Macaca mulatta: one gene and its partner. The protein of the gene in region 2 purifies or fractionates together with the protein of the main gene of each other region. This does not show direct contact. Links are inferred from orthologs where the notes say so. Each region holds a gene or a part of one and is shown on either strand. Other genes may lie near its edges.

Region 1 (7,803 bases), on a different chromosome or scaffold from region 2:
CAGATCTTCTACTTTATTTCTTCCTTATATGCATCTTCTTAGAAACCACATCCTAGTTACCAGATCCTTCTTGACAATACACAAACTAAGCACCCATGATATTAACTGAAACATTAAAAACCATTTGTGCTTTAAAAGAGAATTAATTCAGGTACAGTTTGGTATGTCACATACATTTTTAATGTAGTTACACAAACCCCTAGACCAAATACAAATTCCACCTTCTACATAAGCAAAATATTCAAATCTTACTTTTTAAAAACTTATTTCCAATTTCTAGATTCAGTTCACAACATACAAATAACCATTCTGTATCTACCATAGAGGTATGCTGATAATGGATGCTTAGTAAGAACTTGATCTTGATTTTTAGAAAAGATAAGGCAGTGGGTGAAATGAAATGTCCCTGTAAATTAACTGGGAAAAATATGAATTAAAAAACAGAGACATACAAGATATGGTGACTCACACCTATAATCCTGGCACTTTAGGAGGCTCAGCTGGTAGAGAGGATCCTTGAGCCCCGGAGTTTGAGACCTGTCTGAGCAACATAAGGAGACCCTGTCTATACAAAAATTAAAAATTAGCTGTGCGTGGTAGCAGGTGCCTATGGTCCCGGCTACTCAGGAAGATTGTCTGAACCCGGATGTCAAGGCTGCAGTGAGATGTGACTGCACCACTGCACTCCAGCCTGGGCAACAGGGTGTGACCCACCTCATTAAAAAAAAAAAAAAAAAAAAAAAAAGGAGACATTACAGCCTTTAGTACAAATATTACATTTCAGTGAAATATGTCAAAATATAAACATCCAAGGATAGTAAATAAGAATAAAGAAAATTAAGAATTCGTATCATAAAATAGGATAAGGGACAGGCATGCTGGCTCACACCCGTAATCCCAGCACTCTGGGAGGCTGAGGCAGGAGGATTACTTGAGCCCAGGAGTTCAAGACCAGCCTGGGCCACATAGGGAGACCCTCATCTCTCCAAAAATAAAAAGTTTCTTTAACCAGGCGTAGTGGCACATGCCTGTAGTCCCAGCTACTTGGGAGACTGAGGTGGGAGGATCTCTTGAGCCTGAGAAGGATGAGGCTGCAGTGAGCTGTGATGCTGCCACTGCATACCAGTGACAGAGCAAGACTCTATATATTAAAAAAAAGGGTGGGTTAAGACTAAAGATTGTAAGATCAGATAAAAATGATTTATATATTAAGAAGTTATAAATTAAAAATTGTGGGCCAGGCACGGTGGCTCACATCTGTAATCCCAGCCCTTTGGGAGGCAGAGGCGGGAGGATCACGTGGTCAAGAGACCCAGACCATCCTGGCCAACATGGTGAAACCCTGTCTCTACTAAAAATACAAAAATTAGCTGGGTGTGGTGGCGTGCGCCTGTAGTCCCAGCTACTCAAGAGGCTGAGGCAGGAGAATTGCATGGACCTGGGAGGCGGAGGCTGCAGTGAGTCAAGATTGCACCACTGCACCCGAGCCTGGGGACAGAGAGAGACTCCAAGACTCCGTCTCAAAAAAAAAAAAAAAAAAAGAAAGAAAGAAAGAAAGAAAATGTTTTTTTTCTCTCCTGCAATAATTATGGTTCTTTTAAGCATTCTATACTGCTAAACAGAATTAGAGGCTACTTTCTATATATATGAATTGCCCCCACCTGCAGCTGTGAGACAGGATTAAATGAGATGATGAGAAAGTGCCTGGAAAACTGAAGTCCTTCAAATATAAGGACTGCTATGCCTCTACCTTGATTATGGCTACTAAAAGCCTAAAATTAAATGGAAATCGTGTTTATTTTTACCGACATATTCCAAGTTCGACAACGCTTTCACACTAGGGATGCTAGTCAACGTTATTATCCACTAACACCTACAGTATAAGCAAAGCAAAAAGATCTTTCTTCAATAAATATATAATGTAGTATAAATTAAGCTATAATTCATGGATTATTAATAATCACTTCCTAATATGGAAAGATCTTGGCGAGAAACTGCACAGAAACCACCTCCACACTCTAAGAGCTCATAGGAAAACCAACAGGCCTAAGCATATTTTTTGTTAAATGCTGCCATTTTAAAATGAAATCATTTTCATTAGATTCATATAAATAAGCATCAGTTGCTAGAGGCATTAAAAGGTGCACATAAACTAAGCTTTCACTATAAAGAAAAACTTCTAAAAGACGAAAAAGTACTTGAAATGACAGGTTTCTGTATTAAAGCCTAAAGTTCATGATGTCAACACCATGAACTGTCCGTAGAAGACTCTTAAATTTTCTCAAAGCATGTTAGTGTGTGCAAGGAAGGTATTTGTTTAGTAAACCACTCACTGGTCAGACTTTACCTAAGATAAAGGTATTTCATTAGTGAGAACTGATTACAGGACATTTTAAACAACAATGTAGGGAAAATAGTATTCCAGTATTTTAAAACCTCATTGAAAAGAAATAGAAGTACACTATCTACACATATATTTTTAAATCAAATACTACCAGGTATACTCAAGTTCCAAAAAGGTGAGAGCTTGTAAAAACAGAAGTGGAAGAGAAAAAGAACGACAAATGCAAGATTATCCTCCAAACCTAATCCCAGTTAGCATCTGCAGTACAGGTTAAAAAAAGAGAAATAGCTAATAACATTTATGAAACCACATGCAAATAGCACTCTTCCAACCCCACCTATTTTCTCCTCTTTTTGGCAATGCGTTAAAAGAACCACTGGTACATTTGAAACAAGACACAAACCCTTATAAAAAACTTTTAAAAGACTTATAGATTATTATTTTGAATGAGGAAAGAGGAAAATAGTTCACACAGTCACAAGTAGTTTCTTCATACTCCCATACCAAAAACAAAACAAAACAAAACAAAACAAAACAAAAAAAACAACTAACAGAAGAATTAACACAGTGTCAGGGCAAACTGTAAGATTTGGTAGGGCAAACCAAGTAGTCACTTGAAGAGCCTAAATAGTAGAAACGTCTACTACACATATCAGATAATCAAAAAATCACATATGGCTTTACGATGCATTTTAAAAAGTTTTCTGTTTATAAGTGTCACCATTTAAATATATTCTCCATTCTCTAAGACAAACAAGGACTGAGAGTTTAAAAGCAGCTTGAACGCATATCTGAAAGAACCAAGCACTAATGCTTTTTATTTAAAACTTTTTCCACAGTGGAGGAACAATCACAACGAATAATGGGCTTCTGTGTAGCAAAAACTTGTTCTAACAGTATTCATGAGCACAGTAACTTGGAAGAATTTACATTTCGTACATTTTTTTTTAAAGTGCAAACTTTACGGCCAAAGTCCAAATGAGAAATCAAAACAGGCTTCCAGACAGTGAATTATCTTTCAGGGCATGCTCACTCTTGCTTCAAACAGTAAAGCAAAGTAACTTTCATGTATGATGAAAGCCAGTCAGACTAATGTGTTCAGTCATTTAAAAAGGGAACTTATTTATCGTGACTATTTCCCTATTTTTCCCTGAAAAGTTTCAGGTCTAAGCTCCATTGGCTTGAGTGATCCAATGAGCTTTGTACCCTGAGGTAAAAGAGCGCAAAGAAAAAGGAGGATATTACAGGTGACTTCCAGGTTAGAAAAAAGTTCCGAGGAGTCAGCTCCTACGTTAGCGAATGGACGAATACTGTGTCGTGTAAGAGAAGCTGGTTCCTCAAAAGGTAACTGGCATAATTAAAACGTATCCAAACTCAAGCACCATCAAACATCATCTTGCCAATGTTTTTTAAGGGATGTATGTTATTTGTAAGTAAATTTATCAATCCATTTGGAATTCCAACAGTCTACGCTTAACACTCAAGCTTCTGAATTCAAGCCGCCAGAGTTAACAGTTCCGGGAACTGATAAGAGTATCAGCAAAAAGCCTTTTTCCAGCTCCCCATTTGAAAAGGTGGGGAGCAGAGTTGACAGTCACAAACTCACCCCAGTCAAAAGTACGGACAACACAATGATTAAATTCCACCAGAGGCAAATAAAAATCCCAACTTTCCAGAAAGCTTTCCCTACACCAAATTGAATCCTTTTACTTTCAATCTCACAAAGAAGGTAATCTGAAATAAAAGTCGGGTAAGTGGGTATGGTATTTAAAATAAAATGAGTCAAAAAAAACTACACTGAAGCTACTAAAGAGGCGATGAAAGGTAACCCAAACGCGGGAGGGAAGGTAGACGAGAAAGCCAGGAACGGATGGGAGAAGCAGCTAGTGGAGCAAAGGAAGTGGGGGATCACTTCAAGGGAGGCAGCCCGGAGGGATAACAGGGATTTGGGTGCAAGGAACCAGGCGTTTGCGGAAACCCGAAGAAGGCTGATGAAGAAACAATGGGGCTGGGCAGACGCTCAGGCGAGGGCGACAAGGCGGCACCGGACGGGTGGGAAGGGAGAGCAGAAGGCTGCAGTGGAGACGGGTAGGGGGTGCGAAGCCAGGTGGGGAGGCAAGTTGGTTGGGTATGATGGGGTGTGGTAGCGCACCGGACAGGAGGCGAGGGTCCCCTAGGAATAGGGAGGGGACTGGCTTGTCAGATTTTGAGATGGGGAGCGGAGGCCGTGAAGGCAGGTGTGATGGAAGCAAAAGAACACAGCCCAACGGGCACAGGACCCGCCGTGCCAGAGAAGACGCAGGGAGGGAAGAGGCAGCAGACGGGGGAAAGAAAAGAGAGGGAGAGAAGGACGCGGGTCGCGCGGGCGCCTGGGAGGGGGGCCGCGGTCGGTTTCACTCACAGTCCAGGTGCTTTTTCTTGGGCCCCATGATCTCGTGGGTCGTGGCCTTGCATACTGTCTTGGATACGGCAGAGCCCGTGACACTGTGCTGGGCGGCAGTGATTCGGTCCGTCAGGCTCTGGCCGGACATCTCTGCAGTTCCTCCACCACCCCACCCGCTCAGCAGCCGGCGGGGACTGGGACCCCCAAGAGCCGGAGGGTCCCCACCCCCCACCGCACCCCCTACCCCCACCGGCTCCTTCCCCGCCTGCCGGCCTGGGGCGCGGTTCGGGGCCGCGCGCTGCCACCCAGTCCAGAGAGAACCGGCTTGTATCACCCGCGGAGTCGGACAAGATGTCGGGCACTCCCTTGCCCCCGCCTCAGTTCAGCCCACCCCTTCCCTGGTCAGCTGGAGCCGGGCAGGGTAAGAGGGACAGGCAGCTGCAGGAAAATGGCGGCGCCAGGCTCCTCCTCGGAGCTTTCCGGGCTGCCCCCGGGTCACGTGACTCGGACACCGCCCCTCCTCCCTTCTCCCGCCCCTTTCCCCTTCCCTTTCCTCTTCGACGCCCGCCCTCCCTCGCTCAACGAGGGAAGAGCGGGGCGGCGCCCGCGCGTTACGTGATGGAACTCGCCAGGCAGGCGCAACAGGAGGTCCGCCCGAGGGGAGTGCGCAGCTGGCGCGTCACGTGACTCTCCCTGCCAACAGGTCGCCTGAGGCTCGGCCCGCGGGGTCACAGACGGGGGGCGGGGCGGGAGAGGAATGGCGAGGGTGGCGTGCTGGGGGCGGGGCGGCAGGCTTCTCCACTTACCCCCAACTCAAGTGTGTCCTCGTGTCTGTGGTTGAAACCAACAGCCTGACAAAGGAGGTGCCGCTGCCGTCACAGCTTCCCCTGAAGTCGGGGGTATTAGGCCTCTGGCTCCCCGAGCTTTCCTAGCAGAGTCAAGAAATGTATTTCGAGACGCCTCCCAAAGCCGCCCTCCTGGCTTAAAGGAGAAGGTTCCAGGCGGCCTATTTTCTGAACCTGCCAGCAGGCCTCTCTCTACCGTGGAACTATTGAAGCTCTCCTTATTTACTTACCCCAGAAAGGTTTTTTTTACCCCCTTTCCTTGGGAGGCTTGGAAATGTCACCTGGTTTTGTTTATCTCTACTCCGAAAACCCGACACGTTGCTGCCATTCTAAATTTAGATACTAGCTGGCCCGTATTCATTCTCTAGGGTGTGGAATAGGACAGGAAACACATAGCTTCACTGGAATTTGAAAAGGGAAGTGGTAGGATGATGTCAACAGCGATTAGCTTGACCCTACATGGCTGACTGCTGTGGTGATTAAAGGTCCAGACCATAGAAGGAAGTGAGAGGGGCGGTAAATGGAGAAGTCCTATTCAAATAGTCCAGACATCGCTGCCTGCCATCTCTCTTGGTTTAGTCTTTCTTTCCTTGGCCTCTTTTCTCTTATTGGGTGAGCCAGATTTCCATGGAAAGACGTTGACACTGCCCTGTGGACATTTTAAAAGAAGTATTATATCCTGAAATACTATTGAATGAGACCCAGACCATACATAACAAAGCCTTTTATATGTTATTAGAGCCTCTACATTTAACCCAGGGTTAGGGATAAGTTGAAAAATCTCTTGAGTGTTAAGTTACCATGATAGTCACATGTAATCTTGCTAGTTTCAAATGAAATGCTAACATTCTCAGAAAGTCTGTGTACACCATCTGCCAGCCAAATCCAAAATACTGTGCTTCAATCTGGTGACTCTCAAAGGATGCAAAGCTGATAGATATTTAACATTTTATGTATCATATCAGGAATTTTGTGGTCTCCCATTTCATATTCCCCACACCCCCTCACCCCCCTTTTTTCCCCACTATGGCTGGTGAAATTCTGCAGCAACATCCTCTTGCCAAGAACACACAGTTCTTAATCCCAGCGGGCTTCATCTTTGTCAAGCCAGCCTCCAATTTCACAAAACTATAATGACTTCCTTCACTGTACTGCAATCCATCTGTGGTTTGGTGCCCAGTTTGCTGCCCCATCTCCATTGGGCAGTGGAATTACCAAATTTTCAAGACATGTTATCAGCCATCATTGCTACTGGTCTATGGGTTCCACTGTATAAGTTACTGGTTGGCTTGAGCCTCTGCATTGGTAAACCCCAAACTGAGGTCAACACTAACATGGTCTAGCTATCAACAGGTGAATATTTTATCCTTAGGGAAAATGTCAGTCATTCCTAAGTACATAACAGGAAAGTATTACACTGCTACTTTTACCAAAGAGGTTCTTTCAGACCACTTTTATGACAAAAATTGTTGACATGTTTACCCTATTAACAGGCTGCTGTTAGAAATATCATTTTATTTTTTCCAAGTATACATGGTAGAAGTTTCTAACTATGTAAATAATCAGTAATCATTGAAGAAGATTATGTGTAGTTGTGAACTGAAATCTATGGAGAAATTTAGAAGAAGATGGGGAATTGTTCTAAGGATAGACACTACTGACCTATTTTGTCTTACATGTTTAAGTGTCCTCTATGTCAGTTTCCTTGGTCTCTTCAGGAAATATCTCTACCTGAAGTTCCACAGATGCCAACTCACCATGGCCAAAACTGAACTTCTCTTGCCCTTGCCCAGCATCCTACATCTTTAATCCACACTGTTCCCTGTATCTGTTAATGGCCTCACCACATGCCCAGAAGCTCCCCTCAGAAAGCTGTGATTCAGAGTTCTCCTTCTGTTTTATTTCCCTCATCAAGCCTAACCTACTCTCAAACACATCCCATCTCTAACACCACTTCTGTTGCCTTAGTTCCAGCCTTTATGATCTCTGTTGTACTAGACTATTTTAGTAACTTCTTAGCTGATTCCGTGTCTTTTATACCCTGACTCTCCAATTCAGATATTTCTGAAACTAAAATGTGATTGTCTTTTCTTTGCTTTAAAATCTTCCATTAGCTCCCCCATCGCTACCCTAAAGGATGAAATTAAGGACTCTCAACATGGCATACATGGTTCTTCATGATCTGGCCCCGTTTTAGAAGTTTCTAAGTATGTAAATAATCAGTGACTGTT
Region 2 (6,857 bases):
GGGCAGATCACTTGAGATCAGGAGTTCGAGACCAGCCTGGCCAACATGGCAAAGCCTCATCTCTACTAAAAATACAAAAATTAGGCATGGTGGTGCACACCTGTAATCCCAGCTACTCGGGAGGCTGAGGCAGAGTTTCTTGAACCCGGGAGGAGGTTATAGTGAGCCGAGGCACACCACTGTATTGCCGCCTGGGTGACAGCAAGATTCCATCTCAAAAAGTTTGGTCATTGAGAACTCAAGAATGATCAGTCAAGTGGTGTCAGTGCCTGTGGCTTTTCACTGGTCTGTATCTGGTGGAGAATCAGTTCCATTAGTGTTTTCTGAAGCCATCTTGCCGTGTAAACAAGAGCCAGGCACGGGGGCCTGACCTTGTGGTCCGCTTGCAAGGCCTTTCACATCCATGGTCCTAGCCACCTGGCACAAGCACCCTGGCTACGCAGCCCCAGCTGAGGCCCCACTTCACCCTCCAGGAGACCGTGGACACAGGTGGGAGGCTTGTCTGAGGCCATATAGGAGCCAGCCAAGGGGCCTTTTCTCTCCCCTGACCCACCCTGTCCTGTTTCTCCATAAATGCCAGTAATCTTGGAAGGGGGTGGGACAGGGTGAGCTCACCCACCTCAGCCTTCCCTCTGGCATGTGCTCCTGGGTAAAGTGGGTGCTTGTGAGGCTGCCACACACCCAGGGACTGAATGCCCTTCCAGGTTTCCGGTAAGTGCAAAGGCTGTGTGTGGTCATGGCTCAAGTCCAAGCCAGCTGGGAGTCAGGGTCTCCACCTTAGGAACTGTCAGCCATGGTCTCACACACACTGAGGGGGTCAGCAACTGCTGGGAACCCCAGGGAAGCTGTGGGCATCAAGGCTGGGAGTGGAGGTGGCCTCTGTGGAGGCAGCTGGCTCTTGGCCTCCTGTATAAAAGAAGGGCCCCAAGGCCCATAAATCTCCCAGAATGCAAGGCAGACACGCACAGCCTGTGACAGCCCTGCTGAGCTTTTCTGCAGTCCTGAGTATTCTAGCACTAAATGCAGACACGATGGGGTCCCCGTCCCAGCGCCTGGCCAGGGCCTAGACAAGGGAACATGCGTCCCTGAAGGAATGAAGAGCCAGGCACAGCCCCTCTGGGCATCAGTGACAACAGTCAAAGTGCATTTTATTGCCAGCACAACACTTCAACAGGAGGAAATGCTCACACAAAGCCAAGGGGCTGGTTCTGGCTCATTCTTACTGCTCCTGACCTTGGCCAGTATGTGGTAGCCTTTCCAGAGCACAGGGTGAAGGGCTAAAGGGCTGGGGCCTGGGGTGGGGGTGAGGACAGGAGGACATGGCAGCTGCTGGCTCTGCCCTCCCAGCCTGGTCCCACTCCTCCTGCCACTCCCCTCAGGCTCAAGGGACACATATTCGTTCAAATATGATGGGCAAAGCCAGGGCCTAGCTCGCTCTAGCCGCAGGGTCCCCTCCCTGAGGGCCCTGGTCCAGCAGCTGGATTTCTGGGCTTTTTCTGGCTGAGCTGGAGGGCCTAGGACCAAGCCCACTCTCCGGAGGGCTGGAAACCACCCCTTCAGGTGGGCAGTGGGGCGCGGCCAGAACGGGGGAATGGAAAACAGGAAATGGGGGTGGTTGCCTATTCCAGCTGGAAATGGAAACTCCAGGCGTGAAGGCAGCGCCTGGGCCGCTGTGTCTCACCTCGCTCCCCAGAAAGCGGCCCCTTCCAGCATCTGACCCCTCCTGGGGGCTCCCATCACGGAGGCCCAAGGGCCAGGCCTGAGGAGTAACGGGCAACATTCCTCCAGCCCACCCAGAGCCTGGTCTTCGGAGGCCACGCAGCTGGAGGGCCTGGTAGAATCGGTGCCCCAGAAGGCCACAGACAGGATGCCTGACCCTCGTCCCATTAGCCAGCACGGACTGTGTGCCTTCCGTCCATCCACAACCTTCAGGAGTCCGGAAGGCAGGGAGCCCCACACTGGCCCCGTTTCCCAGTGTGCTGAATACAAACGTAGGAAGAAGAGCTCAAGCTCGGAATATTAAAAACACGCATTTCCTGAAGAGTTGACGCTCAAGCCTACTGCGTCCTGGCTGCACCCAAAAGTTCCTTCTGAGATAAATAAGAGACTCACATCCAGAAGCACCACCCACATGGCCCAGGCCCCTGCAGGTTCAGTAAGGGCCAGGGGCCTTGAGGACACTGATCAGAACGGTGGGGCGGAAGGCTTGGGCACCAGGTGGAGGGGCAAGGCCCCTCGGTCCTGTCAGGGCAGTCGCAGAGGCCCAGGCCTATCTACCAGCCGCCCTGCTGGACCCCTGGGGGGCCTAGTAGTTCACAAGTTGAGCTGGGTAGATGCCATCCTTTTTGTCAAGCTGCAGGGGTTAAAGGAGGAGGGGTCAGTGGTCACAGCCAGGCTCCTGGGGCCCCACCTCTCCCTTGAGCGAGCTGCTCCTCCCTGCATGCCGTGTCATGCCATGCCAGGGGTTTTCAGTGGTCCCTGACTTCCCCAGGGACGTGCACTACATGCCCCTCCGGGGCCGGGCACGGCACCCCCCTCCAGGAACTCCCCCATCCCAGTGCAGATGGCACCTGGTGGTCCTGTCTGGGGGCCATGCTGGGCTTCTGGGCCAGCGGTGGTTTCTTGGTGGTTACACTTCGGGGGGCAGCGCTGGGCTGGCTGGCCGCCTCCTCTCCAGGGCTGCCTGATGCCCCAGCCAGCACGTAGTGCTGCTTCCGCAACTCCCCCAGCCGCATGCGTTCAGCCTCCAGCGTCTTCTCCAGCTCCAGGACACGCACCTGTAGCCACACAGCCTGCTCAACCCAGCTCAGACTCCCCAGGGAGCCCTCTCCTGGGTCCAGGTTTCGCCTGAGGGATGAGCTCAGAGGTCATGGAGCAGCCATGGGCACCTACCTGGGTCTCCATCTCCTGCTTCTTCAGCTTGATGAGGGACAAGCCAGAGAAATCCATGGTGTCTGTGGTCGGAGGGCAAGGTGGTGAGCATCTGGGCACCCACCCCCATTCAGTCTCGGGAGCCAGCAGCCCCCACTTGGCACCTGGCACTCACCTCTGTCCTCAATCTGCTCCTGGCCTGACTTGGTGGAGGCCACGACATTGGCAGCCCTCTCATTGACTGTGCGGGAGCATTCCTGCAGGCGGCTCAGGTGGGGGCTGTGCTTATCAGCCTTCACCTAAGGGGCGAGGGGTCAGGGTGGGCCCAGGTCTCCCAGCTCAGGACAGCAGCAGGCCTGGGCTTGGCAGCCACAGCCCAGGCCAAGTTGGGCCCAGAGCCTGGTGTGCCGCTGTCAGCGTGCAAGCTCACCTTGGAGGCTGCCACCAGCTGGGCCGTGCTGGCGGCGATCTCGTGGGAGCAGACGATGAGCTCCTCATACTTGCCCATGTGAAGCACCACCTTGTCAGCCGCCTCCCTGAGGGGCAAGGGCCGGTCAGGGCCAGAGTCTCTGACCCCATGGACAGCTGGTGCCACTCCACACCCCCTCTACTCTCCGCACCCTGTTGACCCCCAAACTGTTCCAACTGGCAGGAAGCAGCCCCCCGCCCATCCCTACCCAGGGCAACCTACACCAGCTGCGTGGCTCCCCAGCCCACAGCCTTGGAGGCCGAGATGAGGCCTTCGGTCCAGCGCGAGTTCTTGGCGTAAAATTCCTGCTGCGTGGCTGCCCCCTAGTGGCGACGGGAGAACAGGGCAGGACGTGCCAGTCAAGGACACCGAAGTGGAAAGGGGTCCTCAGGGGCCCTTCTCACCTCATTCTGGCAATAGGGTGCATCCCTCAGGCCTCCCTGTGGTAGGGGGTGGGGGGGCCTCATGCCCAGGGTGGCCTGGGCTGGGGGTCAGGTTCCTTGCGGACTGTGCCCTGCTGCCAGCTGGCCCCTCACCCTGCCGCTCTCCACGATCTCCTTCTGTAGGCTAGTGGATGTCATCACCAGGAGCCGGATGGCCTGCCAAGACCAAGACAGCAATGACTGGTGGTCCTCCAGGTGCAGAACCCCCCACCCAGGGTCACAGCCCCCTCACCTTCATCAGGTCTGTGCAGGAGTTGAGGATCCTGGGGGAGAGAAGGGGAGACTTGGCTGCTGCTCTGCAGGGCGGCCCACATGACACCATGGTGGGCCTGGCCACAGCAGGGCTCAGCAGGTAGGGAGGGAGTGTCTGCTCTGAGCCAGGCCTTCCTTTCCCATGAGCAAAACAGTTAGGGGCAGAACCTCAGGGGCCATGGGGAGCCCCCCTCAGGTTGGGCCTGGGGGACAGAAGGGGGGCTCACCTCTCGTTCACCTCCAGCTTCACCCCCGAGCTGGCGTGTCGTGCCTGGTTCATCATGTCCTGCACCCAAGAACAGAGCGGTGAGCTGGCTGGGAGGAGGGGACTGTGGTCCTGGGAAAGCCAGGGCTGCCTCCTGCCCTCTCAGCTCTGACCTCACAGGCCCCTGGAAAACACCATCTGTGCCCTGCCTGGAGGCTGAGAGCAGGAGTGGGTGCAGCCTGTACGCAGCCAAGTTGGGGCCTTCGGCCCCCAAAGCTCCACAGGAATGAGGGGAGTCCCCAGATCCCGTGCTCACTTCGATCCTCCGCACGGCATCTTCAATGGCTGCAGACGTGGTCGCCATCTCCTTGTCAACCATGGCCCCCAGCTCCTCCTGCCGCACATCTAGGCTCTTGGGTGTCAGTTCCTGGTGAGGATGGGAGTCAGACAGGGGTAGCCTCCATCCCCGCAAGCCCACGGGCAGCCTGGGAAAGAGGTGGGGGCCACAGGGACCAAGGAGGGTGCATGGTTCCCACCCTGTGTCCTGAGGCTGCAGGCTCCACACACAAACACCTGTTCAGCCAACCCAGAGGCGGGTGCAGAGGTCAGAGGCAGGCCCAAGTCCCCCAAACCCACACTCAGCGGCGCCTCACCTGGCCCAGCTGAAGGATGCCCTGCAGGGGTGTCCGCAGCAGGCTGGCCTGCACGTGCCGCAGAGCCTGCCGGTCCTGCAGCTGCCCCATGAGCTCCAGAGCGCGGGCCCCACACTCCCTGCAGGTGTCTATCAGGCCTGGGGTGAGAAAGGACCGTAAGTGGAACAGCCCCCACAGGCCCCATAAAGACTCCCAGGGCAGACAAGCTAGTGAGACAGACAGAACCTGCTATCCCGGGACCCACTTACGGTCGGCAGGGTCGGTGGGGGCCAGGTGGGAGGTGGCACCTCCATTGACAATGGTGTCCGCAGCCAGGTGGGAGAAGCGGGTCAGGGCTGCCACCAGGGTGGAGGCGTCTGTGCGGGTGGGTGGGGCCAAGGTTGGGGGAGGATGACACTGAGACACGAGCACTGGGACCACTGTCGGCGGTCCCAGGAGGAGGAGGAGGAAGAGGAAAGGAGGGCTCGGCAAGACCGACATCCAGCAGGCAGTGGGAACCACACCGCAGTGTGTGTGGCTCCGGGCCCTTCAGTGCCCTGCCACCTGCATGCAGACGCACGGTGGCCCAGGCCCCAGAGACAAAAGCCTATTTGTCCACAGGGCAGGGCTGGGTTCCTGGGAAGGAGCAGGCAGGGGGCATCTGCTTAGCTTCCCAGAGAAGTCCCTGCTGTCTGTAAACCTCCCAAAAGGCAAGAGGTGGCCATGGGCGCTGGAACTGGGACACAGCCCCCGCCTCCGCCCTGCTCGGGCCACACTCACCTGCCAAGGAGGTCAGGTACTGGGCGTGGCCCTCCTCCAGGGCGCTCACGGCATCCAAAGCCTCCTGGGCCCTGCTCACCAGGTAGTCTGCAAGCACAAGGAGAACTGAGGCCCCTGCCACCCGCTGCTCGGGGCTGGGGGATGGGAAGGAGCGGCTGAGTGTGGCCCCACCATCTACCTGGGGAGCTGGTACAGCGCAGGTGCAGGGGGTCGTCCAGCTTGCTCACAGCATCCTGCAGGATGCCTGCGGCCTCGGCAGCAGCGCCCTGCAGCACTGCAAACTGCTCATCCAGCAGCCGCTGCCGCAGACCCTGCTCCTGAGACTCCTGGCAATGGGGGCAAAGAGGGCAGCTTAGAGACCCTCCCTAAGGCCAAGGATGTGCCCCAGCCCTGGACTGACCCATGAGCTGCCAGTTGGAGCCCAGCTGAGACCCTCACTGGTCAGGGAGGTGGATATTTCTAGAAAGAGGCTTCCCAGGGTGCACAACTCAATAATAAAAAGATAACCCAATTAAAACATGGGCTCAAGGTCCTAAAAGACATTTCTCCAAAGACACACAAATGGCCAGTGAGCTCGTGAAAAGATATGTAGCACCCTTTGCCATCAGGGAAACACAAATCAGGACCATGAGAAACCACTCCACACCCACTAGGATGGCTAAAATAAAAAGACAATAATAAGTGTTGGCAAGGATGTGGAGAAACTGGAACATTCATGCATTGCTAGTGGAGTGTAAAATGGTGCAGCCACTTTGGAAAACACTCTGGTAGTTTCTCAACAGGGTAACAGAGGTGAGACCCAGCGGTTCTACTGAGTTCCACGCACATCAGTTATCTACCCAAGATAAGTGATGGCAAATGTTTACACAGAAACTTGTGCTCAAAGGCCCACAGCAGCACTATTCACAACAGGCAGAAAGTGGCAACAACCCCAATGTCCACCAAGTGATGAAGATAAACACAATGTGGTCTGTCCACACAGCGAAGTACGATTCAGCCACAAAAGGAATGAGGTGCTGACACAGGCTACGATGTGGTGACCCTTGACAACATGATGCTGAGTGGAAGAAGCCGGACACAAAAGGATGCATCGTGTATGATCCCCTTTATGTGAAATCTCTAGAACAGGCAGATCACGGAGACAGATCGATGGCTGCCAGGCGGCAGTGAACTCAGAGGTGCTGCTGCGTCTGGGGAGGCCATAC

The links.
Region 1: the proteins of HIP1R (region 2) and PICALM fractionate together in Homo sapiens (co-fractionation; 3 studies listed by BioGRID and IntAct, with this or other methods). This does not show direct contact. The link is inferred for Macaca mulatta from reciprocal best matches to the Homo sapiens genes HIP1R and PICALM.

Annotation. Positions count from the first base shown.
Region 1 is NC_133419.1:86,664,490-86,672,292, forward strand, and holds the start of PICALM (phosphatidylinositol-binding clathrin assembly protein), read right to left. Parts: upstream 4,978-7,803; 5' UTR 4,876-4,977; coding exon 4,746-4,875; intron 1-4,745. Other genes in the region: uncharacterized protein LOC114672368, read left to right, coding at 5,079-5,375. UniProt on the Homo sapiens protein: Cytoplasmic adapter protein that plays a critical role in clathrin-mediated endocytosis which is important in processes such as internalization of cell receptors, synaptic transmission or removal of apoptotic cells.
Region 2 is NC_133416.1:130,251,399-130,258,255, reverse strand, and holds the end of HIP1R (huntingtin-interacting protein 1-related protein), read right to left. Parts: coding exon of another isoform or gene 6,825-6,857; exon of another isoform or gene 6,708-6,824; intron 5,979-6,707; coding exon 5,831-5,978; intron 5,740-5,830; coding exon 5,653-5,739; intron 5,250-5,652; coding exon 5,142-5,249; intron 5,031-5,141; coding exon 4,894-5,030; intron 4,668-4,893; coding exon 4,557-4,667; exon of another isoform or gene 4,523-4,556; intron 4,388-4,522; exon of another isoform or gene 4,322-4,387; coding exon 4,263-4,321; intron 4,047-4,262; coding exon 4,016-4,046; intron 3,940-4,015; coding exon 3,877-3,939; intron 3,664-3,876; coding exon 3,563-3,663; intron 3,408-3,562; coding exon 3,302-3,407; intron 3,171-3,301; coding exon 3,047-3,170; intron 2,955-3,046; coding exon 2,893-2,954; intron 2,778-2,892; coding exon 2,571-2,777; intron 2,354-2,570; coding exon 2,306-2,353; 3' UTR 2,182-2,305; downstream 1-2,181. UniProt on the Homo sapiens protein: Component of clathrin-coated pits and vesicles, that may link the endocytic machinery to the actin cytoskeleton. Binds 3-phosphoinositides (via ENTH domain).